Linked DNA regions of Sus scrofa. The protein of the gene in region 5 interacts with the protein of the main gene of each other region in a pairwise test. Links are inferred from orthologs where the notes say so. Each region holds a gene or a part of one and is shown on either strand. Other genes may lie near its edges. The genes, in order: AES, COX5B, RHOBTB3, NAA50, BHLHE40, STK19 and SMYD1.

Evidence for each region.
Region 1: the proteins of BHLHE40 (region 5) and AES interact in binary tests that used the Homo sapiens proteins (3 or more experiments, as listed by UniProt). The two-hybrid records come from large-scale screens. The link is inferred for Sus scrofa from reciprocal best matches to the Homo sapiens genes BHLHE40 and TLE5.
Region 2: the proteins of BHLHE40 (region 5) and COX5B interact in binary tests that used the Homo sapiens proteins (3 or more experiments, as listed by UniProt). The two-hybrid records come from large-scale screens. The link is inferred for Sus scrofa from reciprocal best matches to the Homo sapiens genes BHLHE40 and COX5B.
Region 3: the proteins of BHLHE40 (region 5) and RHOBTB3 interact in binary tests that used the Homo sapiens proteins (3 or more experiments, as listed by UniProt). The two-hybrid records come from large-scale screens. The link is inferred for Sus scrofa from reciprocal best matches to the Homo sapiens genes BHLHE40 and RHOBTB3.
Region 4: the proteins of BHLHE40 (region 5) and NAA50 interact in binary tests that used the Homo sapiens proteins (3 or more experiments, as listed by UniProt). The two-hybrid records come from large-scale screens. The link is inferred for Sus scrofa from reciprocal best matches to the Homo sapiens genes BHLHE40 and NAA50.
Region 6: the proteins of BHLHE40 (region 5) and STK19 interact in a two-hybrid assay, tested with the Homo sapiens proteins (2 studies listed by BioGRID). The two-hybrid records come from large-scale screens. The link is inferred for Sus scrofa from reciprocal best matches to the Homo sapiens genes BHLHE40 and WHR1.
Region 7: the proteins of BHLHE40 (region 5) and SMYD1 interact in binary tests that used the Homo sapiens proteins (3 or more experiments, as listed by UniProt). The link is inferred for Sus scrofa from reciprocal best matches to the Homo sapiens genes BHLHE40 and SMYD1.

The regions. Positions count from the first base shown.
Region 1 is NC_010444.4:75,490,794-75,495,007, reverse strand, and holds the start of AES (amino-terminal enhancer of split), read right to left. Parts: upstream 2,801-4,214; 5' UTR 2,627-2,800; coding exon 2,600-2,626; intron 1,466-2,599; coding exon 1,368-1,465; intron 1-1,367. UniProt on the Homo sapiens protein: Transcriptional corepressor. Acts as a dominant repressor towards other family members. Inhibits NF-kappa-B-regulated gene expression. May be required for the initiation and maintenance of the differentiated state.
Region 2 is NC_010445.4:56,629,797-56,633,241, forward strand, and holds COX5B (cytochrome c oxidase subunit 5B, mitochondrial precursor), read right to left. Parts: upstream 2,312-3,445; 5' UTR 2,297-2,311; coding exon 2,194-2,296; intron 1,657-2,193; coding exon 1,583-1,656; intron 1,411-1,582; coding exon 1,311-1,410; intron 694-1,310; coding exon 581-693; 3' UTR 501-580; downstream 1-500. UniProt on the Homo sapiens protein: Component of the cytochrome c oxidase, the last enzyme in the mitochondrial electron transport chain which drives oxidative phosphorylation.
Region 3 is NC_010444.4:102,383,247-102,386,746, reverse strand, and holds part of RHOBTB3 (rho-related BTB domain-containing protein 3), read right to left. Parts: intron 3,431-3,500; coding exon 3,264-3,430; intron 1-3,263. UniProt on the Homo sapiens protein: Rab9-regulated ATPase required for endosome to Golgi transport. Involved in transport vesicle docking at the Golgi complex, possibly by participating in release M6PRBP1/TIP47 from vesicles to permit their efficient docking and fusion at the Golgi.
Region 4 is NC_010455.5:146,210,218-146,213,192, reverse strand, and holds part of NAA50 (N-alpha-acetyltransferase 50), read right to left. Parts: intron 2,121-2,975; coding exon 1,984-2,120; intron 1,208-1,983; coding exon 1,088-1,207; intron 664-1,087; coding exon 597-663; intron 1-596. UniProt on the Homo sapiens protein: N-alpha-acetyltransferase that acetylates the N-terminus of proteins that retain their initiating methionine. Has a broad substrate specificity: able to acetylate the initiator methionine of most peptides, except for those with a proline in second position.
Region 5 is NC_010455.5:61,526,609-61,530,811, reverse strand, and holds the start of BHLHE40 (class E basic helix-loop-helix protein 40), read right to left. Parts: upstream 2,801-4,203; 5' UTR 2,535-2,800; coding exon 2,455-2,534; exon of another isoform or gene 2,295-2,454; intron 2,289-2,294; coding exon 2,219-2,288; intron 2,149-2,218; exon of another isoform or gene 1,974-2,148; intron 1,968-1,973; coding exon 1,860-1,967; intron 926-1,859; coding exon 802-925; intron 1-801. UniProt on the Homo sapiens protein: Transcriptional repressor involved in the regulation of the circadian rhythm by negatively regulating the activity of the clock genes and clock-controlled genes.
Region 6 is NC_010449.5:24,058,995-24,063,025, reverse strand, and holds the start of STK19 (serine/threonine-protein kinase 19), read right to left. Parts: upstream 2,801-4,031; 5' UTR 2,756-2,800; coding exon 2,656-2,755; intron 2,509-2,655; coding exon 2,372-2,508; intron 1-2,371. Other genes in the region: DXO (decapping and exoribonuclease protein), read left to right, coding at 3,504-3,859, 4,022-4,031. UniProt on the Homo sapiens protein: DNA-binding protein which is required for efficient transcription-coupled nucleotide excision repair (TC-NER). Acts as part of a TC-NER complex which assembles and interacts with RNA polymerase II (RNAPII) when it stalls at DNA lesions.
Region 7 is NC_010445.4:57,915,777-57,919,845, reverse strand, and holds the start of SMYD1 (histone-lysine N-methyltransferase SMYD1), read left to right. Parts: upstream 1-1,269; 5' UTR 1,270-1,363; coding exon 1,364-1,500; intron 1,501-4,069. UniProt on the Homo sapiens protein: Methylates histone H3 at 'Lys-4' (H3K4me), seems able to perform both mono-, di-, and trimethylation. Acts as a transcriptional repressor. Essential for cardiomyocyte differentiation and cardiac morphogenesis.

The DNA.
Region 1 (4,214 bases), on a different chromosome or scaffold from region 5:
TGGCTTCTCTAATTTTCTTTAAAAATGTACAGTTGCTGCCACTGTTAAAAAAAAAAAAAAAAGGCAGTTTCATTCCAAACTGCATTTCTGGCCCTTCCTGAGGGACTGGCAGATACTGTACCAGTCCCCAACACAGTAGGACTCCTCGCTGTATAGCAGGAAGCCCAGGCCCAGCGGATCGTGACTCCAAAGCTCAGAGAGGGGGCCTGGCCTACCTGAGGTCACACAGCATGAGGCAGCAACCTGACCCTCAGTCTCTGGAGTCAGATCGGCCAGCCAGATTGGATCAGAGGAGAGCAAGGGCCAGGTAGGGAGGGTAGGACCCCTGGAGAGGCTCAGAAAGGCCAGGCCTGACAAGCAAAGCTCCTAAACCCTCCACATCACAGGACCAGAACAAAGCTCCCGGGCCTGCCCTTCAACCACCTTGCCTCAGTTTCCTCACTTTGAAATGGGCATATGATCAAAAAGCAGGGAAGATTCAATAAAAGGATGTATGTTCAGTATTTGGCAAATGGGGAGGATAGGAACACCCCCAAAGGAAAAACAGATCTCACTATTCCTATCTCTTCTTGGAGAAAACTCAGGATCCTTCATAGAACACTTTTGTGTGACCAAACTGAGGTCCAGAGAAAGCCCAAGACCCCACTGGTATCTGTGGCCATGGACCCCCTTCTGATTCTCAAGCAAAGACCCCCTCCGGAGCTAAGGCTTGAGACTTTGCAGTCTTCAACCCAGAAACTGAGTGTGAGAATCTCATTTTGCCACTTCCCTGCTGGGCAACCCCAGGAAACCCCTATCACCTCTGGGTTTAAGTTTCCCTAAATGTAAAATGAAGATAATAATAGTTCCTTTTTCTTAGATCTGGCACATGGCAAGCCCTTTAGAAATGTTAGATTAAATTCTGGAGGGAGCATCGCCTTGCTGCTGGGTGCCAGAAACCTTTTCTCCAAAACTAGGCAAAGAGATAACAAGCTATAGACTTTCTTTTGAGGGGTGGGTGGGGCGATGGAAGATCCAGCCCCCAACTCCAGCTCTTGGGAGGTCTTTTATCCAACGCAGTCTGGGGTGGGGGTGGGGGAGGGGAGAGGGGCTTGGAAACCAGACGGCTGAGTCTTTGGGCAAATTATTTAAATTCTTGTGCCTCAGTTTTCTCCTCTATGAAATGGGACTGTCCTAAAGACTAAATGAATTTAATATCCGTAAGTGTTGGAGACCTGGTCTGCCACATGAGACACTCAATACCGATTTTTTCCCCCCATTCTGTGTGTATAGCAGGGACCACAACTTCAGCTCCAGGCCTCAGTCTTGCCTTCTGAGCAGGGGGCTCCACCTTCACCCAGGGCAGGGACCACCAGCCCTCAGCTCACCTGTGGTACTGAGCCTGCAGGAGCTGAAACTCATCTTTGATGCGGTCGCAGGAGTCCGAGGTGGTGAATTTGAGTTGCTGGGGTAGGTGCGACGAGCCCTGTGGGGAGGGGGCGGCCCGGGTCAGGACCAGGAGGGGGCCGCCACCCACCTTCCTCCCTGAGGGCGCCCCCCCTCCACCAGGCTGCGGCCTGCGCAGCTGCAGCGTCCCCCCACACCCTGCCCCACTTCCCTGGCTGTGTTTACAGCCCCTGGCTCGGCCCCCGCCCTCGCTTCCTGCCCCCGCCTCTCCCCGAGAAGCTAAGGAGGGTGGGTGCTCCCGGAGCCGCTCGTCCCCCTCCACCCCCAGGCTGTGGGGGTGCATTTGAAGGGCCGCCCTTGGTGGGGGGTAGGGTGCGCCCTCTACCGCGCCTCCACAGCGCCGGGAGGGGTTGCACGTCTGAGCGTCCCAACTGCCTCAGGGAGGGGGGAGAACGCGTCCTAGTGAATCCCCCTCCCCAAAGCTGGGAGGCGGGGGCAGGCTTCCTGGCAAAGTCCCCTTGGGAGAGGGGGCTCTCAGCGCCCAAAATCTTCCGGGGGTGCGGGGGCCCACCCCAGATTCCTAGCACCCTTCCTCCAGGCCGCGCGCTCTTCCGGGAGGGGTGCGCCTTGACTCTCCCCCACTCCCAGGCCCCAAAAGCAGCCCCAGCGTTAGAGGTGCCTAGTGGGGCTCCCGGGGCGCCCCAGGCCCCAGGCCAAGGCCAGCGAGGCCCAGCCTGGCTTGGGGTGGGGGTGCGCAGGGTCCAGGGTCTGGGGCGTGCTCTGAGCTGGGGGCAAAAGGGGACCTGGGGGGGCTCTGGGCCCGGAAGCTGGGAGGGGGACCCGGAGCTGGCGGCGGTTGCGGGGGGGGAGCAGCTCTGGGCCCAGAGCTGGAGGGGACTGGGCCCAGGAGTTGGGGGGAGGTGCCGAGCTGGAGGCGGGGGGTTGGCCTGGCAGGGACCTGGAAGGGGGTCGCAGGGCTTGGACCTAGAGGGGGCGCTGGGTTCGGATATGGGAGGGTACGGGGCCCCGACCTGGAGGGACGCAGGGCCCGAACCTGGGGGAGGGAATAGCCCCGGCTGGGAACTGGGGATACCGGGCCAGGACGTAGGGGGACGCAGGGCCCGGAGCTGGGGGGGGTGGCTGGGCTGGGAACCGGGGGTGCCGGGCCCGGACGGGGGGGGGGGGGGCCGCCGGGCCGACGGGCCCCGCTTACCGAATGCCTGCTTTGTGGAAACATCATGTCAGTCGCGGCGGGGGGCGCAGGCTGCGCCCCGGCTGTGCGCCCCGACTCGGGCTGCTCGGGGCGCCGGGCGGCCGCGCCTTTGTCCCGGAGCCGATCGGCAGCTCCCGGGGCCGCCGCCGCCGCCTCCCGCGCCCGGCCTCGCCCGCTTCCTGCGCCCCCTCCCCGCGCGCCCGGCCCCGGCGCGCCCCGGGCCCCGCTTCCTGCGCGCCCGGCGCCCCTCCCCGCCCCTCCCCGCCGCCCGCCTCCCCGCACGCCCGGCCGCCGCTCCTATTGTCTAATGGCGGCGACGCCGGCAGTGGCCGCGGCCTCGGCTGCGCGGAGGCTCCGGCTCCACCTGCTGCTGTCGCCGCCGCCGCCGCCGCCGCCGCTGCTGCTTCCCGGGCCCCGTGCGCGCCGCCGAGGGGGGGGCGCGCGCCCGGGGAGGCCCGCGGATCCCCACCCATCCGCCTCCCCCGGGCCGGCCGGCGCGGTGACCTTGGGCCCGCGCGCCCCCGCCCCGCCGCGGCCCCTCCCGGCCGGGTGGCCTCGGCAACCGCCAGGGCCTCGGTTTCCCCATCGGTCAAAGCTTGGGGCCCGGCTGCCCCCATCGAAACCGCCGGCGCTGTCATGGCGCGACCCGGACGCGTGCCAGGGACATGCTCTGTAACCTTGGCTCACTGGCTTTTCTCTGAGCCTCGGTTTCCTCCTCCGTAGAAAGGCGGGGATGATACCGCCGACCTCCTGGGAGCCATACCTTGACTCACATTAATGGAGCGCCTACTGTGTGCCAGGTGGGGGTGGGAGGGGGTACAGAGTCCCTACCCTGGTGGAGAAGACAGAAGACAGAGAGACCAGCCAAAGAGCCAGGTCCCTGGCAGGTCAGATGGTGGTAACAGCTATAGAGAAAAGAAAGCAGGAGGGAGGGCCGGGAAGATGTGATTTTAAACAGAGGGAACTCAGATGGACCTCTTTGGCCGCTAAGCGGATCTGAAGACGAGAGAGGGAGCCAGTAGGCTATGGGGTTGGTCGCTTATTTTAGGAGGCAGAAACAGCCAGTGCAAAGGTACTGAGGCAGCACTGTGCCTAGCACAGGTGGGGGTGGGGTGCTTGAGAGGAAAAGGGAGCAGAGGGGCAGGGCTAGCAGCTTCTGGAATTTGCACAGAGGCCTGGCTTCCAGAAGGGCCTCTGCTTGGGTGGATGATCTGCTGTGTTGGTCTGGAAATTCCTAATAATTTTTGAATGGTCTTGTTTTGCATTGGGGCCTGCAAATTCTGTAGCTGGTGATGAGGCGGGACAGATGGTGCAGGGCCTTGTGGGCTCAGGGAGGATTTGGGCTTGCTCGGAGTGAGATGGGAGCCCTGTGAGATGGTGGGCAGAGGAGAAACAGGGCTGATGGGGACTTTGATAGGATCTCTCTCCCTTTCCTGTGGAGAGCAGGCCTCCAAGAAACCAGAAATAAGGCACATTAAGTTCCAGGAAGTGCTAAATACATAGGCTCTTAATTGTCACCATCATCATCATCCACTATGCACCTTTGCCTCCTGGATGAATTTAAATTCTTCCAGCCTTGGGTTTTCCCATTTGTAAAATGGAGACTTAGGACCGT
Region 2 (3,445 bases), on a different chromosome or scaffold from region 5:
CTCCCTATAGTTTATTTGAAGAAACTGGTTGCTGGTTTCTAGAACTGTCCCATATTCTAGATTTTGCTGATGGCATCCTCATGAACTATGCTTTAAACCTGGGTCCCTTAAGACTTCAAAGCCAAAACTCTCCTCACAAGGCCACTCTGTCTTTAGAACAGCATAAGGACCTATCTGCCAGGCTCTTTATATACTCCTACAACCTTACAAGATACTTATCCTTTCTTTTTTTCTTTCTTTTTTTTAATGTGATCCATCCCAGAGAACATGTCCCCAGTGATAAAGCTAAATGATGGAGTGGAGCCAGTTCTACAAGTCCAGCCAGCCTGCTTCCACAGCCGGTTTGCCCCTTGCCAGGTGGTTCCTATCACTGCATTAGGGATTGGTAATCTCAGTGTACACAGTGGATGGCAAGCTAATACGAATAGACAACTACCTCTGATATAAGAATTACCCATACCCTTCTAGAAATACAGGAAAGAAAGAAGACCAGCCAGCCATGGGAGGAGGAGCCAGTGTAATGGCTAGTCTTTATTGGAAGAAACTTGCCAGCGCATCTTGAGTGTGTTAGTGCAGGGGCTCAGTGGGCCAGCTGGTGCGACACCAGCTTATAATGGGTTCCACAGCTGGGGCATCGCTGGGTCTCGCCTTTGTGCACCCAGAACCAGATGACAGTACTGTTGTCTTCTTCACCTGAAAGAACATAGGTGGTTGAAAGCTATCCAGCCTAGAAGAGGGGACTTTCAACATTAATCTCTTCTCTTCAGACACCTCTGAGACACAAAATTATGGCTGACACTGCCTAACAGGGTGTCTAGCAAAGGAGAAATACAATAAACACTTTCTAGATGAATACTCCTTCCTCATACTGCCTTTCCAATAAGGCAGTATTTTTTTCTTTTTTGCTATTTTTTTTTTTTTTATTAGGGCTGCACCTAATAAAAACAGCATATAGAAGTTCCCAGGCCAGGGGTCAAATCAGAGCTGCAGCTGCTGGCCTATGCCACAGCCCCAACACCAGATCCTTAACCCACTGAGCGAGGCCAGGGATCAAACCCACATCCTCATGGATATTAGTGTCTTGTTCATAACCCACTAAGCCGCAACAAGAACTCTCAATGAACCAATATTATTTATGTTCCAGGCCTCTCTCCCGTAAGGATCACCTACTCAAGCAGAGGGGTATGAGAGGGCCAAGACCCTTATAACAACTTATTTATACACACACAAAGCACAAGATATGAAAGAGCTTACAGACCTGTATAGTGGGCTATATTAAATGGGTAAGAAAATAGTGTTGAGGTACTTACAGATGCAGCCCACTATCCGCTTGTTGGTGATGGAGGGGACTAAATTAGGGTCTTCCTTGGTACCTGAGGCTGCCTTTGGGGCAAGTATATTGTATGGGTCCTGAAAAGACAAAATAAGAATCCATTATGCCAAATGACTCCTACCTTCTAGGGGTTAGCGGTATTGTTCCCACATGCCAGGTTTCCAGGATCAGTGAGGCCCAGAGAGGAGACTACTCTGATCCCATCCAAAACCATAAACTCCTAAGAAGACATATAAAGTTTCTCCTCACCAGTCCCTTGCGGGCGGCCATCATGACCTCCCTCTCCAGCCCAGTCGCCTGCTCCTCATCAGTAGGAACACCACCTGAAGAAAATATGGTAATTACCATGTCGTCTGAAATGATCACGATGGAAAATGCACATACGCAAACTGCTGCATATAGTTTTAGTGGGCTTATTGTCCCCTAAAGACCGGAGTCATGATACCCGAAAGTGGCAACATGGGGTGATCTTCACTTCCTTCGGCCACGGAGGCCGTTTTTCGACACATTTTTTTCCTAAAAGCAGGTTAATCAGAGTCCTAGTGGAATACATCCAACTTGAGATACGCGCGGGTCTAAGGAGGGGCTTAGCCCCACCCCCCATGTCCTGGCTGCAATCCCTGCCCATCAAGGTCATCTAGCATTTCAGTTAAGGATTCTTTGGCAGCGGGGTCAGTCTGGTGGTCGGCAGCAACGGCGGCCCAGGGTAACAGGGAGACGCCTGTGGAGCCTGAGGCCTTCGGGGCCAAGGGGCAGCCACTGCGGCCGCGAGGTACTGAAGGCTGTCCCCCGCCCCGCTGCCCCCACCACCCCGAGAGAGCAATGGCACGGGTCCCTGGCGCGCCGGGGGGGCCTAGTACCTCCAGATGCCATAGACCGCACAACGGCGACTCCATTGGGACCTCGGGCCCTCAAGGTCTGCGCGGCTAGCGCTCCAGCTCCACGGAGTAACCTTGAAGCCATCACGCCCGCTACAAATACCAGCACTTCCGGTAACAGGCTCCTGAGGTGCAGGGACTTCCGGGGGAGGGCTGCTTTCTGCGCAGAGTCCGCCTTCCGCTTCCTCCGGCCCCTAGACCGCCCCCCTCACGTGACTCCTCGGGGCGGCGGGGGGGGCGTTGGGGCAAGGCCTGCGCTTGCGCACCTGTGCCTCACTGCCCCGCCTTGCAGCCCCGAGGGCATGGAGGCGGTCACGGTTTCAATTGCAGGCTTCTGGGGGCTTTGCCCTTTAGTAACGCTCGGATTTGGTGCAACTCGTTTTACTTCCGTGGGACTCAGTGCCCCGCAGGTCAATGGAAAACCACGCTGGAGCCGATAGTTGTGCCGAGTAAACGTGGAGCCTGCTGACGGAAAACATTAAGCCTGCGTCGCTCAAGATACTTGCTGGATCCCAAAAGGTCCAAATTTAGGAGTAGGCTAGTTGTGGTGCTGGTTCACCTGGCCGTTTGTGAGCCACTGCGAACTTGTAACCCAGCCTAGGAGAACTTGAGCAGGAGCTCCCCGCAGTCCTAACGTCAGCTTCTTGTTACGGTGGTTTTGAGGTGATGAGGTTCAGGCCTGAGGCGAGGCTGGGGTGGCAGGGGAAGGGACGGTCAAATTGTGGGCCCTTCCTGGGAGCCAGGCCCTTGATGATATGGGGTAAGGTAAAGGGGTGGTTGCATTGGGAGGCTGTTAATTAAGAAGTTAAGGGAGGGAAGCAGGAAGCGGAGTTGGTGACGGGAAATGGAGCTCCAGCTCCAGAACGTACTGGGGCGAGTTCTCTTGTTTAAAACTGAAAACTTTTTGGCCTGTTTTTTGGTTTTGGCCCGGGTCTACAGCATGTGGAAGTTCCCCGGCCAGGGATGGAACCCATGCCAAAGGAGCGACCCAGGCTGCTGCAGTAGTACTGCTCGGTCCTTAACCTGCTGCACCACAAGAGAACTCCTAAAAGCTGAAAATGTCTTCTGTAGCCGCCCCCATTGCCCCGCAAGCTGAGGTGTGCAAGTTTCTGTAAACGCTGCCTTGTATGGATGGGCTCCTAGGAACTAGTTCCTGCTGTCGGTGTAGCCCTGTTACAGACTGGCTGCATGCAGCATCTTTTTCCCTATTGGGTAGAAAATTCTTTCACAACAG
Region 3 (3,500 bases), on a different chromosome or scaffold from region 5:
TTGAATCCACACCTCATAGATACTAGTCAGGTTCTTAGCCCGCAGAGCCACAATGGAATTCCTAAATATAGCTCTTTTAAGGACACTTAAAAATACTATAGAAGCGCGTAGCTGTGGTACAGCTCTGATTCATAGCTGGAACCTATATGCCGGAGCGCCAAAATAGCAACAACAACAACAAAAAAAAAAAAAAAAAAAAAAAAAATACTATAGAAGCAAATAAATACAGATAATTTGAAGAAAAATTTGTAAAACTCAAGGATTATTCTTTTAAAAAGTTATACTGTGGGAATATTTTAACATGTAAATTTTATAGGTCTCTCTGATTTTCATTATACAAAATCATAATTTTAATTGTAAGAGTTCATCTAACAGCATATCACATTTTAACAATCTTTTTTCACTTTATGTTTTAGCAGACAAATGTTTGAGTGATCTCAAGAGCAGGAATATGTAGCTATTTTTAACAGAAGCCACCAGAGGAACTAGATGGCTAACTCAGAGGAGAAAACCTACCAAAAGATGTTCACAACACTGCCTGAGGGCTGTGACTTTGAAAGAGGAAGGAGATCACAGAAATGAATAGCTGGCTATGAAAAAGTAGATCAAATGTAGAATTTTATTTTGAACAAGACTTAAGATTTCATAACTGTGGGCTCTTGGCAAGAGATGGAATGCCTTTCACTGGAAAAATTACATTTTTGGAAGAATTTTCACTGTCTTGAGAAAGTGGTTTAAGCTGAAATAAACAAAAGAATTTAAAAAGACATTTAAAAAAAGCTTTAAACCAAATACTGCAGCATCTAACAGCTCTGTGAAGAATAATAATCGTGGAGACAGTACCCAGAAACTCACAAGGAAAAGGTCAGAAGCAAATTTGGGGCCTGAAGCAGCCAAATATTAATGCACAGATTCTAAGTAAGAAGTTGAACTTAAAATTTTAATATGATTTAGAGTAAACAGGACTTCATAGGAATCACCAAAGTTTGCCAAGATAAGGTTTAAAGGGGAGTAAGGAACTGATCTGTTTAAGGGGAAAAGGCCTCTGTTTATGCTAAGATTCCAACTTGATGGAAATATACAAACCTGAAGGTAGACTCACAATAAAGAATTGAGAGAAGTTAGGGCAAGTTCCAGCAGAAGTGAGAGAATACCTCAACTACTTAGTTATATCAAAGGTATCAATGATGCTTTCCTGATACTCAATACAAAGCTGGCAGAGATGATAGAGTGATTGGAAATTTCAGTTATTCAGAGGGCTACTGTAAGTCTAATTCTGCCAAAAGGCAATTTCACCTCCTAGAAGTCAGAGAAGCAATGAAGGAAAGGTTGACTAAAGTCCGACAAACAGATGAACTGGCTGGTGAAGTGGAACCTCAACCTGAGAGCTTCGAAGAGAAATAGGAAGAAAATTATCCTGTTTCTGTGATTCATAATTTGCAAAGTAGGGACCATCAGGAATAGACTAAAGGAAAACTGATAAATGTAGGCTGAATCTTAGCAAATAGAAAAGTTTTCAGAAACCAATAGTAAAATTCAAGAACAGGTAGTATCTTAGACTTCTAAAATTTAAAGGAAAAAATAAGGATACTCACACATTTCAGATTCAGGAAAACAAGTCAGGAAGAATTTCTGACAATACAATTATAAATGATGCTGATGGGGAATGGTGTGGGGGTGCTGGGTGTGTCTGTATGTGTTGGGGGGGGCAGTTCAAGAGATTATTGCAACCATGCAGGGAGTTCTCTTATGCATGAAATATTTAAAAGGATACTATAAGCTAAAGAAAGAGAAACTTGTGCTCATTTTTTAAAAGTATGACAGACTTGTTAGAAAGTATGAAAATGAGGAGTTCCTGTCGTGGCGCAGTAGTTAATGAATCCAACTAGGAACCATGAGGTTGCGGGTTCGATCCCTGCCCTTGCTCAGTGGGTTAAGGATCCGGTGTTGCCGTGAGCTGTGGTGTAGGTTGCAGACGAGGCTTGGATCCTGCGTTGCTGTGGCTCTGGCGTAGGCCGGTAGCTACAGCTCCGATTAGACCCCTAGCCAGGGAACCTCCATATGCCACGGGAGCAGCCCAAGAAATGGCAAAAAGACACACACACAAAAAAAAAAGAAAAAAGAAAGTATGAAAATGATACATCAAAAATGAACTGAGGTTGTGAAAATGCTAGGAAAAAATTTTAAATTTTTAAACTAAATCTAGAGGAAAGCTACTAATCCCAAGCTTAATGTAAATTTATTACAAAGAGAGATCAGTTACTCAAATTTTTTAAATTTGCTTTTCCCCTAATATTAAATACACAGGATCTGTAGACTTGATTATGAGAGAAATAAACTCCAAAAAAGCTAGGAGACCATAAAAGAAGACCTGGATGCTTTAAATGAATTCCCTTCCATGCTCAGAAGTAGGTATACTGATTAATGAATTCATCTCAGCCTGGAGGCAAGCTTTTAGCTGTCAGAGTCTGTCCTCTGCCCCATTATATGGCTCTGTTTTAGCAATGTGGATAAAGGCAAATTTGTCATATCTTCCTCTTCTGGATGCAAGAGCTTATAGGAACAGCCAATACGTTGTATGCCAGATAATATTTACAAAATCCTAATGGTTTGTAATGGTGGATCAAACATATTCCTGTGAAAAAGACTTAGAAGGTTCAGCTTTAATGCTATGACCACTGCAAAGCCCTAAAACTGTCTTAGGGCAGGGAATGGAATATAGACTAACTCCTCATACAAGGCGACATTTCAACAAAAGGTGTTTGAAAAAACTGATGAAATACACCAATATCTCCTACAACCAAGCAGAAGAACTTCAAAACATGTTGGCTAAATAAGTGTATGGATGAACAGATAAATGAGTTCAGCCTAACCATCTCTATCAGTATGTATGGACTAATCTCATTATTCTCCTTTCAGGAACCTTAAGAGGTAAACAACTGAGGGAATTTCAATGTAAATTCTATTTCCTATAATGCCTATATGAAACAATACAGCACTGACTCTAATGAGAGCTACCCTTCAGTTGAGAAAATTCCATATTGGTAAATCCTACCTCCTTAGAAAGGGATGGCCCCAAAACCCCATGCTTCGAAATTACCTAACAGCAGAAATTGCTGTGAGGGCACATTTACCTCATTTAGTCAAATTTCTAAACTAAGACAAGCACTAATATATCTCTTAATAAACAGAAAAAATTTTACAGTAACATCATTTTTGTAATTTTTTTTTTTAATCCAACAACCAGATATAGGGCCAATTACCTTGGCTTTTTTGAGCAGATCAACTATATCGAGGTTCATCGATGCCAGTTCCCTGCTTGGCATGCTTTGCAGCTGTGTAATGATGAACAGCTCACAGATGTGCTGCAGTCTGGATACCTGGTACATCTCTGCACAGATCAGGAGACACATTGCCTGGAAAATGCCAGCTGATGCAAGAAAAGAAATAAAAGAAAATGGACAATAAAACCATTTCTTTTACCATCTAAAAACAAAACA
Region 4 (2,975 bases), about 85 Mb from region 5:
ATGCCTGAATATATCTCTGATTAATAAAAAACACACTAGATTCTGAAAATAATCAATTTGTTATTTTTTATTCTTCAAAATAGTATTATATAATTTAATCTTTCCCATTGCCAAAGTGAAATGAAAGTAATCTTATTAATACTTGTATTATAAAGCTCCATAGTTGTGATCTTAGCCTTGGCTCTGATGTCTCTTACAATCCAAGTATCAATCAGCTAGGTACTCTCCAATTTTGATTATTAAATTATACTACTAATGAGCATGTCACTGGGAGCCTTGAACAAAACTCAAGAATGCAAACAGATAGCATGAGAAATGTAATATTAATGATATTAATTTCTTAAATTCTTAAGACCTGAGTTTTAATCTTGGTTTCACATCTTTGACTTTGAAGCTCCCATTCCAATGTAATGAAGCAAACAAGAATGTTTCATTTCCGATTCCTTATCTATAATTAAAACAAAACAAACTTCACAACTACTACTTCCGTGGTGTTTCCGAAAGACAATAAATGACAAGATTTTAAATTTCTAGTAAAGATTTCTATTGTCAATTCATTAAATCTTTAGATAAGAACATTTAATGACTTTACTTACAGATAGATGTTGTCAAAAGTGCCATCTTTTTCACAGATGTTTAAGACATGATTTAACATTTTAGTTCCTATTAACAAGACAAATAACAAATAAGTAATCTCATAAAAATCAATCTTTAAATTATACATCTTATTGATTCCTAACAGAATTTGAGTTAAAGTCTAGATATGCTGATTTTGCAAAATTTTGTTTTCTCTATACTACCTACTATGTTTAAAACCATTAGCAGAAAATCAATCTTCACATACAGCCCTTACAGGGAGAAGAAAAACAGAAAAAGCAACAGGGATATTAATAACAAATCCATAGAGTGCTTTCAACTGAATTATGCCAATAAGTAAATAGCTCTTTTCCACCTTATTTTATATAATTCAGTAACCTTTTCCCAGTATTCCTAGAAGAAATAGTTTGACTTACTGGGTCAGGAACAGTAACAATGTATTTGTGCTTATTTAAAGACGATGACAGACAAAAACCACAAATAATTTTACCTATTCCTAGCCTTCGGTATGGAGCCAGACATCCTAGTGTCATGATGTAAAGTCTCTTCTGATTCTGTGAATGATCCACCCTACAGCACACCGCACCTACTGCAATATCATTGAAATAGGCTGCCACGGAAAATATAAAGATACAAAGTTTAACAGACAGAATAACACATTTTACTGAATCTTTCCATCCCCTTACACAAGGACTAAATCGCTATTCATCACCGAATCTCATTAAATTTTCTAATCAGCCTCTCTGAGTATCAACAGCCTCAAAAACATCCTGTATCTTCTTGGAGTTCCCATGTGGCACAGCGGGATCAGCTGCATCTCTGCAGCACCAGAATGCAGGTTTGATCCTGGCCTGGCACAGTAGGTTAAAGGATCTGGCGTTGCTGCATATGCAGCTCAGATCTGATTCCTGGTCTGGAAACTTCATATGCCATGAGGCAGCCAAAAGGGGGAAGAAAAAAAAAAAAAAACACCAAAAACCAAACCAATACAAAACATCCTATACCTTCTTAAGAATTTAAGTCCCCTTTTGAGTAAAACTAAATATGTGAAAAAACACAGGCAATCCTAAATTAAAAAAAATATTTAGCATTTCCTTTTAAAATTCAAGTCTTTTATCTCTATTTTTTTCAGAACTTGCATCATTCCCATTTCCTCACTTGTAAAACAGGAAATTATATCAGTTAACTTTTTCTTTCCAGCTGATATTAAAAACTAGGGATCAAGAACATGAATAAACAAATGAAGGGAAGAAGAAAAACCACATCATGGATTAAGGATCTGGCATTGTCACTGCAGTGGCATGGGTTGGATCCCTACCCTAGGAACTTTCCATAAGCCATGGGTGCAGCGAGAAAAAGAACAGAAAAGAAAAACCATTATCATACCAAGTTTTGCTAGCTCGCCAACCTCCAGCACATCCTTGTAGAACTTGTCATTGTAGCTGACTGGAAAGATGACCTGGTTTAATCTCTTCAACTGTTTAATATTGTGTGGTGTCACATCTCCCAGCTCGATCCGGCTACTGGAACAAACCAAAATGTACTCAATAAAATATAATTAGCTTCATCTGTTAAGATGGACATATTAAAAGCATACCAAGTCTTTTTTAGATGACTGATAAATCCATCTCTTTTCATGAGTCACCTTACATTTCTATGAAGTTCACTTTTTTTTTTTTTTTTTTTGTCGTTTTGCGTTTTTCTAGGGCCACTCCTGCAGCATATGGAGTTTCTCAGGCTAGGGATCTAATTGGAGCTGTAGCTGTCAGCCTATGCCAGAGCCACAGCAATGTGAGATCCGAGCCGCGACTGCGATCTACAGCACAACATAGCTCACGGCGACGCCAGATCCTTAACCCATTGAGCAAGGCCAGGGATTGAACCTGAAACCTCCTGGTTCCTCGTCAGATTCGTTAACCACTGAGCCATGACAGAAACTCCTAGTTCACCATTTTTTAAGCAGATTTTTCCAGTCATTCGACCTAGATCCCAACTCTAGCTTTCATACAATTGTTTACATTTGGAGTATACAATTATAATGTCTAAATACAGTAAATAACAATTACTAAAAAGGCCAGAATATTCTACATAAATACCAAAATTTTCAGGAAAATTTAAAGACATTTATTACTGCTCAAAAAAGATTGATGACACCTTACCTAATTGGCAAAGGGGTGGCAAGTAAGATTTTTACACCCTAACAAGGATGTACATACACACAGTATCTCTGGAAGACAATCTAGCACTAGGTACTAAAAACCTAAAAATTGTATTTGTCCAAGTAACCCCACTCTAGGAAGTTATTCCATGAAAATAATCTAAATGTGCAAAAATCTTGCATATCCTATTCATTTGACATAGGAACCACACACATCAGA
Region 5 (4,203 bases):
AGTCTTTCCCCTGTATTCTATCCACGATCCCCAAGAAATTAGGTAGGATCATCTTCTTATTTTCAACAAGGAAACTGGCAGAAGCACCTGCTAGGTTCTTGTGACTCTCATCATAACAGTTTGGAAAGAGGGGCAGAGAGGAAAGGAATGAGGGATTGGATAGAAGAATTTCTCCCTGGTGTGTACAATATTATCTGGAAAGAGTGAGACGAGACGTGATTGTGATTCTCTGGAAGGTGATTGTGATTCTCTGGAAGTCAGGAGAAACATGATGAAACTTCAGTGGTTTCGTGAGATTGTGTAATTCACCAAGATACCTAGTGGCTATTCAGGGAACCACATGAAATGCAGGAAAAACTCCTGCTGTCATCCTGCCAGGATCATACCACACACCATGTGATAAGGAAGTAGAGACACAGGAAAACACTGGGGCATACCCATGATTTTATTCTCCAATGAAACAGGGCTAAGAAGACTAACTGTAAAACACCCACGATGCAAATTATAGGTGCCTTGGCATTTTGAAAGGAAGGGGGGGAAAACTCCCAGAACCTAGAAACTCTTTAAGCCAAAATGCCACAGAAATATTTTACCGTTTGACTAATACGTATTCATGCCAGGTGGCACATAGCAGCCTCCCAAATGAAAAGTCTGACCTTTTAGGAAAGATAAAACAGCATCTTCCCCAGTGAATGTGCATAAGCAGTTTGTTGCAGGAATGTTTCTTATGTCAGATGTTGAGCCCACAGGCTCTCCATTTGTGCTAGAACTCTTAGGAGATAGCCAGGCTCAGGAACTCACCAGCTTGCAAACCGCTCTGCAGGGCAATGATTTTCTGTTGTTGCTGATCAATTAGGTTCGTTAGTGCTTTCACATGCTTCAAGGTAAGTTCAAGAACCACTGCTTTTTCCAAGTGACCCAAAGTCTGGAATAAAAAGAGCCTCAGTCAGCAGGGAGCTCAGAGAAGTCCCACCTCTGGGACCCTTATTAGCAATGAGAGATGTCTCTAAAGGGAAAAAAAAACAAAAACAACCTTTCCTGGTTGGCTAAATTTCATTTTAAGTTTATAGATGTTTAAAATATATATATATATAATTATTAAAAAAAAACTAGTTAAAAAACAACAAATGAGTGTCACCCATCTTTGGAGGCATTTTGGAAGCAGCAGCTACCTCAGGAGAAAGCTCTGACAGATAAATTTTTCCAGCAGCCTCTGCTGACCTTAACTCAGGGGAATCCGAAGATTACATTTCTCTGCAGTGGTGTCAACCCGAGGAAGGACTTCTACTGTGTCTGGCAGCCAAGAGGCTTTCCCTAGTTTCTTTCCTGACACCCTGTCATAACTTCCAGTTCATCTAAGTTTTTTCTTCCCCCTAAATACTTCTTTTTTTTTCCCTTTCCCCAACCAAAGGCTGTCAAGCTAGTAAGCTGTTGACCATTGCCAAGAAAGGACAGGATGTTTAAAAAAAAAAAAAAATCACACACCCAAACAAGTCCTCTCATTTTAAAAAGAGATGGGGAGGAAAGAGGTTAAGAAAAATTGCAGGTTGCTTGGTTTGCTCAAGTTAGGAAATCAAGAGAACCTTGAAAATCACCAGAACGGTGAGCCTTAAACTCTTGCAAAGGAAGGCCAGCCGGTGTTGGTGCCAACTGGAGAAATACAAACGGTTTTCACCTTATTTGCATGAGGCTGCCAGAAAATTCTGAGGACTGGGGAAGTGTACCCCAAATAGCCACCCAGCAGCTCGAATCCAGCCGTCTGGCCTGCAGTTCCCGGCGGGACCTGCAGGCGGCGAGTGACCCCCGACCGCCCTCTGGGCAAAGGAGCTGGTTTGGAGAAGGGCCAGCTTCTCACTTACTGTAAGTTTGAGATGTTCGGGGAGGAGATCCTTCAGCTGGGCGATGCACTCGTTAATCCGGTCACGTCTCTTTTTCTCGATGAGCCGGTGCGGCAGTTTGTAAGTCTCCTGCAAGGCGCACGGGGAAATGGTGGGCTCCGGAGGAGGAGGATGAGAAGCCCTTTTCCTCCCTTACCCCGCGGCGCGAGAAGAGTAGGGGCAAATGAACAGAGTCACACCCAGAACTACCTTCTTCTCCAAGCCATCCAGGCACGGACCCCGCACCTTGCATACCCCCTCCAACCTCAAAGTGAGAAAAGTTTTCTTGGGAACTCAGTGCGTGCTAGGGGCTGGGGTCCCCAGGGGTCCGGGGCCCTTACCTTGCTGTCCTCGCTCCGCTTTATTCCCCGCCTCGACTTGTACACTTGATACATGTGGGCAAAATCCATCCTGCAGGGAGAGGGACGAAGAAGGGTCGTGACTTTGCCTGCGCACCCGCTGCAGGAACCCTGGCGGGCATGAACCCGCATATGCGCCCAGAGCGATTCCGAGTTGAAAGTCGCTCAGAACGCAGGACTGGAGTTGAGGCTTGAAGGGGCCGGGGGTGTCAACTTACCCTGGTAGGTCTCCAGGCTCCAGTCCTGGTGCTTTGGGCAGGCAAGCGGGGGGCGGCTGCGCGCTGGGTATCCGCTCCATGGCGCGGCGAGCCGGGGCCACTGTGCGCTCCTGTCTGCAGTGGCAGAGAGTCCGGTGAGGACTGTCCTGGAGAGGTTTCGAGGGGTCTCTCCTCAGGAGTTCCTCTGAGTCTGAGCTCCCTGAAATCCTCCGGCTGCCCGGAGCTTCGGCTTTGAGGTGTTGCTTCAGTTGGGGGCGTGCATGGTGTCCCCGCGGCTTCTGGCTCAGGCTCTGCGCACAGACTGGCGATGTGTGCTCCCTGCGCCGTCTGCGCTGTGCGAGCCAAGTGAATGAGAAGTGGGGCGGGCGGGGAGGCGGGAGGGAGCGGGGGGGGGGCGGTTAGGGTGGAGTGGGGGGGTGGGGGGAGAACGAGCCGAGGAGTAATGGAGAGGCTGCGGGCTGGGTTAAATGGGAGCGAGTGGGTGGGTTGGAGCTACGTGTTCTACCCTGTGACTCCAGGCACGTCTGGCCGCTGCCGGGGAGGGAAGGAGCGACCTGCCCGCCCTCCCCCGGCTTCATCACATGAGTCTCACGTGTTGGACAACGCTCCCGCGGCTGCGAGGGAGCCCCCACCCCCAGCTCCGGCCCCCAGGTGTCTGCGGCTGCCTTTCCCCGAAGAGGGGGTGGCAGCGCGGCCTGGGTCCTGCCCAGCCGGGTGGGGGGCGCGGAAGCTGGAAGGGCCCGGGGAGCCGGGGGGGGGGGGCAGGGAGGGGAGGTTGGTAACGTGGGCGAACCTGCCCCAGGGAAATGAAGTAAGTTCCCGTCTCCTGGGAGGGAAGGGGGAGGACGGATCCGCCCGCCTCTGACTCAAGCCGGGAGAGGAATATCCCCTCGCTCGCTCCAGCCCAACCCGTTTCCTCCTCCCCCCGCGCGGTCCGCTCGGAGGAACCAGCGCTCAGCCGAGGGAGTCGCCCGGCCCCCCTGCCTTCCCCAGGGGCTGGGGTTTCTTTCGGTGCCGGCTTCCCTGCCCCCACCCTCCAGCCCAGAGTCCAGGAATCGCCCGACGTGGGGAGGGGCCGAGGGGCGGGGCGGATGTCACCCCATGGGAAGCGGGCTGGCAGCCAAGCGCAGGGGCAGCCGAGGCCGCCGCCGAGCACGCTCTGCGCACCTGATCCGAGAGGCTGCGTGCGGCGGGCCCCTGGCTCCCCCGGAGTTCCGCTCCCGGGCACAGCCTGAGCGCTGGCGGGCACCCACTTGCCCACCCCCCAGGGTGCTCCAGAGTACCCCCCCCCCGCGCGCCTTGGACTAGTCAAGCACAGAAAGATACCCGGCGCGGAGCCCTGCGTTCCCTCCCTTCTCTGCCCCCACCGGAGCGGAGGCGCTCGGGTCGCCTCCCCTCGGGCTGCAACGTTACACAACCGTGGCGGCGGCGCCTGCCCTGCAGCAGCGCGGGGCGTGACACTTCACGTGGCCGGAGCTCGGGCCGCAGCGTCCCCGACTTCGAGCCCCTCTGCCCAGACCGGGGGACGGAGAGCCCCGGGCCGGTGTGGCCCGCCGGAGTCTGCCGTCTCCCTCCCTCCGGGAACTTCGGCGGTGCCGTGTGGGATCCTCACCCGGAGATGGAGGAAAGGGAGAGAGACTAGGAAAAACTATCTGCCCTTCACAGTGACATCTTAGCATTCATTCATTCTACACGCATTTGTTGACTTCCCTACCCTGTGCCAGGCATTGTCCCCGTTGCTAGACACAC
Region 6 (4,031 bases), on a different chromosome or scaffold from region 5:
ATCCGGCATTGCCATGTAGGTGTAGGTTGCAGACGCAGCTCAGATCCTGCGTTGCTGTGGCTCTGGCGCAGGCCAGTGGCTACAGCTCCGATTCGACCCCTAGCCTGGGAACCTCCATATGCCGTGGAGTGGTCCAAAGAAACAGCAAAAAGACAAAAAAAAAAAAAAAAAAATTCATCTAATGAAATAAGATATAAACAAAAACACATGGTATAGTTCTGTTTGAATCAAGTTTAAAAGTGAGCAAAACTAAAATATGTTGTTAATGGATAAACACGTAGATGGTAGAAAGAAAACCGAGGTAATGACTATCATACCAGCCAAGCATGTGACCTGCCAGGGACAGAGCAATATACGTGGGCTTTGGCTGTGTGTGACAATCTGACCTGGGTCACAGTTAAGTGGGCATGTGCATTATAAACATTCTTTAAATTGTGTGTTTCTATATTGTTTTGTGCAATTTTAAAAGCTCTTCTAAAATCAAGCTAACACCAGTAGGTTAAAAACAACAATGCTCTAAGGAGTGGGTGTGGGTCCCTTTCTTAAGAGACTGGAGCTAGTCTCCATCTTCCTTCTCTCCCTCCTTTTCTTCCTGAGAGAGTGTATGCTAACCTCCCAACCGCTAAATCCATGTGCATATCATTTCACTTGACCTCTTCGAAGACCACTGCCTGGAATCACAGGTTCTAACACGACCAACTACTCCACCTTCTTGAAAATCTCTACTTTCTCAAAAGGCCTTTTCGTGGGTTCTTCCTAACTCTGGCAATTCCTTCTCAACCTCTTTCACAGACTCCTCTTCCGCTGCTTTCCTCTTGCAACAGTGGATTTCAAATTTTAAGGCACATTAAGAATCAATTGGGGCATTCTCCTGTGGTGCAGTGGGTTTCAGGATCTGGCATTGTCACTGCCTTGGTCCAGGTCACTGCCGTGGCGAGGGTTCACTCCCTGGCCTGGCACTTCCACAATAAAAAAGAATCACTTGGGGCAGTAGCTTAAAAATGTAGATTCCGGAATTCCTGTCATGGCTCAGCAGGTTACAAACCCAACTAGTATCCATAAGGATGGGGGTTAGATCCCTGGGCTCACTCAGTGGGTTAAGAATCCGGCATTGCTGTGAGCTGCAGTGTAGGTTGCAGACAAGGTTCAGATGCAGCATTTCTGTGGCTGTGGTGTAGGCCAGCAGCTGCAGCTCCGATTTGACCCCTAGCCCAGGAATTTCCATATGCTGCAGGTGCAGCCCTAAAAAAAAAAAAGTAGATTCCCAGGTTCTACCCCAAGAAATCTTAATTCATTATCATTGAGTGAGTTCCAGGAACCTGTATTTTTGAATAAAGAGGCCAGGTAATTTTCAGGGTCAGGCAGAACTCAGGACATACCTCGGGAACCACTGCCTTAAGGGTTGGTTCCTCCCAGCATTGGGGATTTGGCTCTATTATCTTTCATTGCAAACCTGGGGTCCTTAACTTTGGGCTGCAGAGGATCTGTGAAACTCTCTCCCCTCCAAAACTGTCTATATACCTTATATATATGTAATGTATATGCATTTTTCTGGAGAGAGAGACATAGCTCTTATTATCTTCTAAAGTTTGTAAAAAGGTTACAAACCACTCCTCTCCTCCCTCTTCCTGCCATTTTCACCCACTTCTACAGACTGAACCACTGCGCACATCTCCATGACTTCCAATTCTGCATTAGTGGCCCAGAACTCTCTCCAAACCCTCATCCAACTGTCTGCCGCACATTTGCATCTGGATGTTCCACAAGTACCTCCACTCAACCTGTACGCAATTAAAGACATCATCTGCCACCAATGTTCTCCTAGTCCCTTTGCTCCACCAACCACTCGGCCATCCAGAAAATCGAAGAGTTTTTCCTTCTTCTTCCCGCTCTCCACATTCCTCACCCATCCTCACCCTAATTTAGGCCTTCACCAGTTCTCAGATGTAAATATCTTTCCAATCGATCTCCCTACCTCGCCTACTCCCTCCAATCCATGCAACACACCCTTCTCTCTCCTATTTAACAGTCCCCGCCAGATCACCGCTTTCAATGTAAGACCGAAACGACACTGATGTACAAAGCCTGTCCTAATCTAATGTCTGCCTGCATTCTCAGCGCTGTAGGTTCGAACCATGCCCGGTGACTCAGTCTCTCCCAAAGCTTCACTCTTCCACACTCATGATTTGGCATGCTCTCTGTTGCCTGAGGCTCTGTAGCCTCCTCCCTGGCTGGCACAATGCTTGGCCCAGAAAGACCCAATGCTTGCTGAAAGGCAGAATAGGTGGTGGGCGAACTGAATGATGGGGAACCTCGGAAGTGCCCGCGAGGCAGGGAAGCGCCCTCCGTCGGTCGCTCTGACGCCCCTCACCAGCTGCCGGTCAGCCACCGTCCGGTCCGGCACGAGACTGTACACCTGGTTCCTCAGCACGATGGGCGGTAGCGCATCCTCAAACAGGACTCGCGGGAACAGCCGCACTAGCTCCGCGACTGCCGCGCGCGCAGATCCTGGGCGGAAAGACCTGGTCACTGAGACGTTAACTGGGACCGGGGCGGGGGAGCGGATGTACGCTGGGTCCCACCACACAGGGTTACCAGAGGCGAGGCCGCTCCCAGCTGAAGTCCCTAGTCTCGCCCTGGGGTTGCCATGGTTACCTGACTCGCCGCGCAAAGGATCTGCCTCTACATCCCGTCTTTCTCGCGGTCTCTTCAGTCCAAGGGTCTCTGGGACCAGGCGATGCCTCTTCCGGCTCATATCCCGGGATCTTAAGGTGCCGGGGAAGAGGTAGATGCTGAAGGAGAAGAACACGAAAAGTCTTCCGGCGCAGAGCAGTGACGTAGAGCGTCCCTCCTTGGAGGCCAGTCAGCCCAGTGTTACAGGACGACGTGGTGACGAAAGAGCCGTCAACCTGTCATCCCTCGGGCTGGGAGGGGCAGTGCCAATGCGGATACCGGCACCAACTGCATTGGCCGAGGCCCCACGTCCGCTGCTGATTGGCTTCCTCCGAGAGCGCCCACTTCCGGGGACGCCAGGGCAGTGCGGGAGGGGTACCGGTGGCCACGTTGTGATCTGCCTCCTGCTGTCCAGCACACAGGCCCCCATCCCAGAGGGGTTTGCCCGCCACTGTCGCTGAATAAATTGCGTCATCGAGAGCCGGGAAGACCATTTTTGCATCCCTCTTCGACTTCTGATGTACCTGCCATGACGTCATAGCTCTGCGAAGGTGTAAGTCGATGTTGGTGAGACCTGACATAACCAGCCAGATACGAGGCCAAAGGTACTTCCTAACCTCTCTGGGCTTGGAGGACCTGGGGATAGGGGTGTAAGTCAAGGGGAAAGGTGAAATGTGCACCTGGTGGTGGCCGTATTTGAGGACATGGGGCCTGCACTTTTCAAGGCCAGAGCCTGGCCATCAGTAAGCTTGCTTAGTCCTGACCTGAAATCCTCCTTTTCCAGCCCTCCTCTTTAAAAAGGGAACTTCCCCACCCTCTCTCAGGTCTGCATGGAGCCCAGAGGGACCAAGAGAGGAGCTGCAAAGATAAGAGTAGCTGAGCCCTGCAACAAACTCCCTCGCCCAGCACCCTCACTGCCCACAGACCCTGCCCTCTACTCTGGGCCCTTTCCTTTCTACCGGCGCCCTTCTGAACTGGGCTGCTTCTCCCTGGATACACAACGCCAGTACCATGGAGATGCTCGAGCCTTGCGCTACTACAGTCCACCTCCCACCAACGGTCAGAGCCCCAACTTTGACCTCAGAGATGGATACCCTGATCGATACCAGACCCGGGATGAAGAGGTCCAAGAGAGACTGGACCACCTGCTGCGCTGGCTCCTGGAGCACCGAGGCCAGCTGGAGGGGTGAGCAAAGCATGGCACACAAGTAGCTCTAGAGACCTGCACCTGCCCTCTGAAATTGGGAGAGCCCAAGCTGGAGAGAGGCCAGTCCTTAAGCTATTCTTTGGGGGCACCATAGCGCGAATGCTTGCGTCAGATCTTCAGCCCCTAATCCCTCCCTCTCAGGGGTCCCAGC
Region 7 (4,069 bases), on a different chromosome or scaffold from region 5:
GCAGAAGATTCTGCAGCTGCTTCCAGAAGTCAAGGCAGTTTCAGGAGATGCAATTTGGTTGAAGGCACATTAGAATCGCTAGTGTATCTGGATGGTTTAGGGAAGATAAAGTGACTGAATACATAAAATATGGAAAAAGTCCCATTCAAAGTGCCGAAAGGTATGCTACTTCCTTGGTGCCTATTACTTCATTTACCAGTGAAACTATCCCCCTTGTTTTGTAACTAGGATATCAAAGTTGTCCCTGTAGGCTCAAAATTTAAATGCAGATTTAGCTGACACAGAAGCCAGCACTTACAAGCTACTGCACTCACAGAAATCCAGAGCACAGAAATCTGTAAATAGATGCATCCCAGAAACTAAAAATATTACCTGAAAGGTAAGCCACAGCTCCAGATCTGCAAGAGTCTTTCTTTTCAACCTCAGTGAGAGCTGCCTGGCCTTCAAGACAAGTGGCTTTTAGTTCAAGGGAGATTTTGCAATAATCCATCCAATATCCAATTACTATTTTTCTGGCAACAAACACATGTTTAAGGGAGATTTGATAGCCTGAGAGACAGGAGAGTGTTCATTGTCAAGGCCTGCCTGCTCTCATAATATAGCTTTCATCTAGCACATACGTGTTATCAGGGAATTCTCAGTCCTCCAGGCCCTGGATGGAGGTGCTGTGGGAGGCCCAGGTTATACTGGGGAAGAGGGATGCCCATTAGAACCTAAACGTACTGTTATGCACATAGCCCAGAGGCCACTTTTGCATCTGCTGCTTTCTGCAAACAGTCCACCCATGTGGATTTGCTCTGGTGCCTGGGGCGGGGGCGGGCGGGGGGGGGGGAACAAGGGGCCCGTCTCACTTGAGAAAGTCCAAGCCTGACAGCTGAAGGGTCCCAGAACAGTAAGCATCACCTCGCCTCTTCTCTTGGACCACTTCAGCTGTCTGCTTTGGATTGACACAGGCATCTGGCTGCTAAAAATACCCGACTGACCAAGTGCCGCCTATTCCAACTCAAGCTGAGCATGACTGCCATCCAGGACTTAACTACCCTTGCAAAAGAACTTTTCAAAAGTTTTCAGACCCAATATGAGAAGCACACCAACCCATAATCATTTTCTATGTTGTCGGTTACATTGGGCGGTGCGAGGGACCCTTCCCAGATCACTGGCCTCTGGCTTGCCCCATCCCTGTCTCCAAGAATAGAGGCAGAGGGGGAGGTGGGGACCCAGTGGCTGAGAGGGGGTAGGGAAGGGGAGGTGCTTGTCCATTTATAGGCTTGCTCTTTGGGATGCTGAAGGTGCTGAAATAGCAGCGAGGACAAGGGACTTGGCTCAGTGTTAAATATCTGCCGAGCTGCCCTAAGATTCTGAGATGACAATAGAGAGAATGGAGAATGTGGAGGTCATTACTTCTGAGGGCAAAGGCAGAGGTCTGAAGGCCACCAAGGAGTTCTGGGCTGCTGATGTCATCTTCGCTGAGCGGGCTTACTCTGCCGTGGTTTTTGACAGGTACAGAATGTGGGTGGTTGCCCTCTTTTCTCCTGTTGGTTTGGCTGTTGCCACATTCTCAAATATTTTGCTCTCAAAATCATCAGAGCAAGGGATAAAATCCATGGGGCCATTGATAAGGAATGGCATTCCAACAGCTAACTGTTTTCTTGTGTAACTTTTCCTGCAAAGAGTCACTGCCAGTGGGATTTGCTCTGGTGCCTGGGGTGGGGTTGCAAAGGTGATCAAAGGCTTGGGGGCAAGTGCTCAGAGCACTGGTGAACTTGGCTGAGTGGGAGTGCTGTGTGTGGTGAGGTTGGAGAGAAAGGGAGAGGTGGGTGTGGTGCCTTGAAATCTTTTCCAGAGGGCTCCATGTTTTTTAGCTTCTGAGATAAAATAAACATATTAGAGAAGTAAGTGAGTCCTGGGATTTTAAAAACATGTAAATATGCAAGTACTCCTGGAGTCCATTTGCTTTTGAAAATAGGAGTATCACCCATGAACGGGAATCCTCTTTTACCTTTCCCACCCAGAAACCCAGTCCCCTCTGTCTTTCCTCAGAGGTAATCCTTCTTGTGATTTTAATGATTCTTTCTAGAATATTCTTGTTCTATTGCATCTATCTGTCTATATCTGTACTTACCAAATATATAGCTGTAATTTGTCTTTTTTTAACAGAAATGTTATCATACTTCAGACATCATTCTGAAACATACTGTTTTCACTAAGCATGTTTTGATACTTATCCATGTGGAAACTGTAAGTTTATAGACACTTCTTTTAAATCGTCAAAGATCTGTTTTTTCCTCCCACGTGTAGATCTATCCATGTTGATCCATACGCTCTATGGATCACAAATTTTAACTTCTGTAGATATTCTTCCCTGTAAATATATGGTCTTTAAGAAATCTGTTGCCCTATTGAGAAACATTTGGTGGTCTCCATTTTTTTTCATAAAAACAAATATTTCTGCAGTTAAAATCCTCGATCATGTCCACTTGTACTCATGCGTGATAATTCTCTAGGATGAATGGCTAAAAGAGGAATCACTCTGCCATAGGGTGTACTTTTTTCCATTTTAATAGGATCTCCTTAGTGGGTCTGTTAAATTTACATTCTCATTTCCTCACAATCCTGTCCATCCTTGACCCAAACTTTCAAATTAGTACTAAATCTCTATTTTTCTTTTTTTTTTTTTTAGAAAAAACCTTATACTGTGATGAAATTATAACAGTATTCTCAAAAGTTGGGGTGGCCTGCCTGACATTGATGTAGTCTCAATAAAGATGGCCTCTGATCTTGGCTTCGTGACCATCCTGAGAATGGGCAAAGGTTTTCAGAGATAATTTGAGCAGCATTTGAATTCTCATTTCTTCCTACCTATGAAGACCTTCAGGGAGAAGGCAGCTGATACCAGCTGAGGAATATAAAGCAGCTGAGAGGACAGTAATACCTCTTGGGGGAGTGGGTCTTACCTTATTTATTTATTTATTTTCATCTTTTTAGGGCTGCACCCATGGCATATGGAAGTTCCCAGACCAGGGGTCCAATCGGAGCTGCAGCTGCCAGCCTATAGCCACAGCCACAGCAACGCCAGATCAGAGCAGCATCTGCGAATCTACAGTGCAGCTCACAGCAATGCTGGATCCTTAACCCACTGAGCAGGGCCAGGGATTGACCCTGCATCCTCATGAATCTTAGTCAGATTTTTTTTTTTTTTTTTTTTTTACCACTGAGACGCAATGGGAACTCTGGGTCTTACTTTGTTAATGTAATTGTGTGTGTGTGTATGTGTGTGTGTGTGCGTGTGTCTGTTGGGGGTGGATGAGGAGTTAGTGGCATCCAAAATTAAGACATAAAAAGCTGGAAACACAGGGTAGTTCCCATTGTGGCTCAGTAGTAAGGAACCTGCCTAATGCCATGAGGATTCGGGTTCTATCTCTGGCCTCACTCAGTGGGTAAAGGATCCGGTGTTGCTGTGAACTGTGGTGTAAGTTGCAGATGTGGCTCGGGTCTGGTGTTGTTGTGGCTGTGGTGTAGCCTGGCAGCTGCAGCTCCGATTTGACCCCTGGTCTGGGAACTTCCATGTGCCACATGGCCCTAAAAAGGAAAAGGAAAAAAAAATCTAGAAACACAGGAACCCTGAATAATCTTGGTGCTGCCACTGAGTTGCCACCTTGCCTTTTAAAGAACCTCCATGGGTTTCTGCAATTCCCTAAAAGCCAATATGGCCAATCAGTTTCTCCTTCACGACGGTTTGGAGTTGAGTGGGTTTTCCCTTCATTATAAAAGTCAAATTTAGGAAGAAAAAAAGGTATCTTCACACCAAGATAACTCAACCTTGTTGATTGTCTCCTGCTTATTTTACAACACAGGGTTCATTTGTTTGTACTACAGGCTTGTATATTATTATATATAAACTACCATTTTTTTAATGGCTGCACCTGCAGTATATGGAAGTTACCCAGGCCAGGGATCAAACCTGTGCTTCCCCAGAGACTAGAGCCACTGCAGTTGGATTCCTAACTGACTGTGCCACAGTGAGAACTCCAAACTATCATGGGTTTTTCATTTAATGATTTAGATGTCT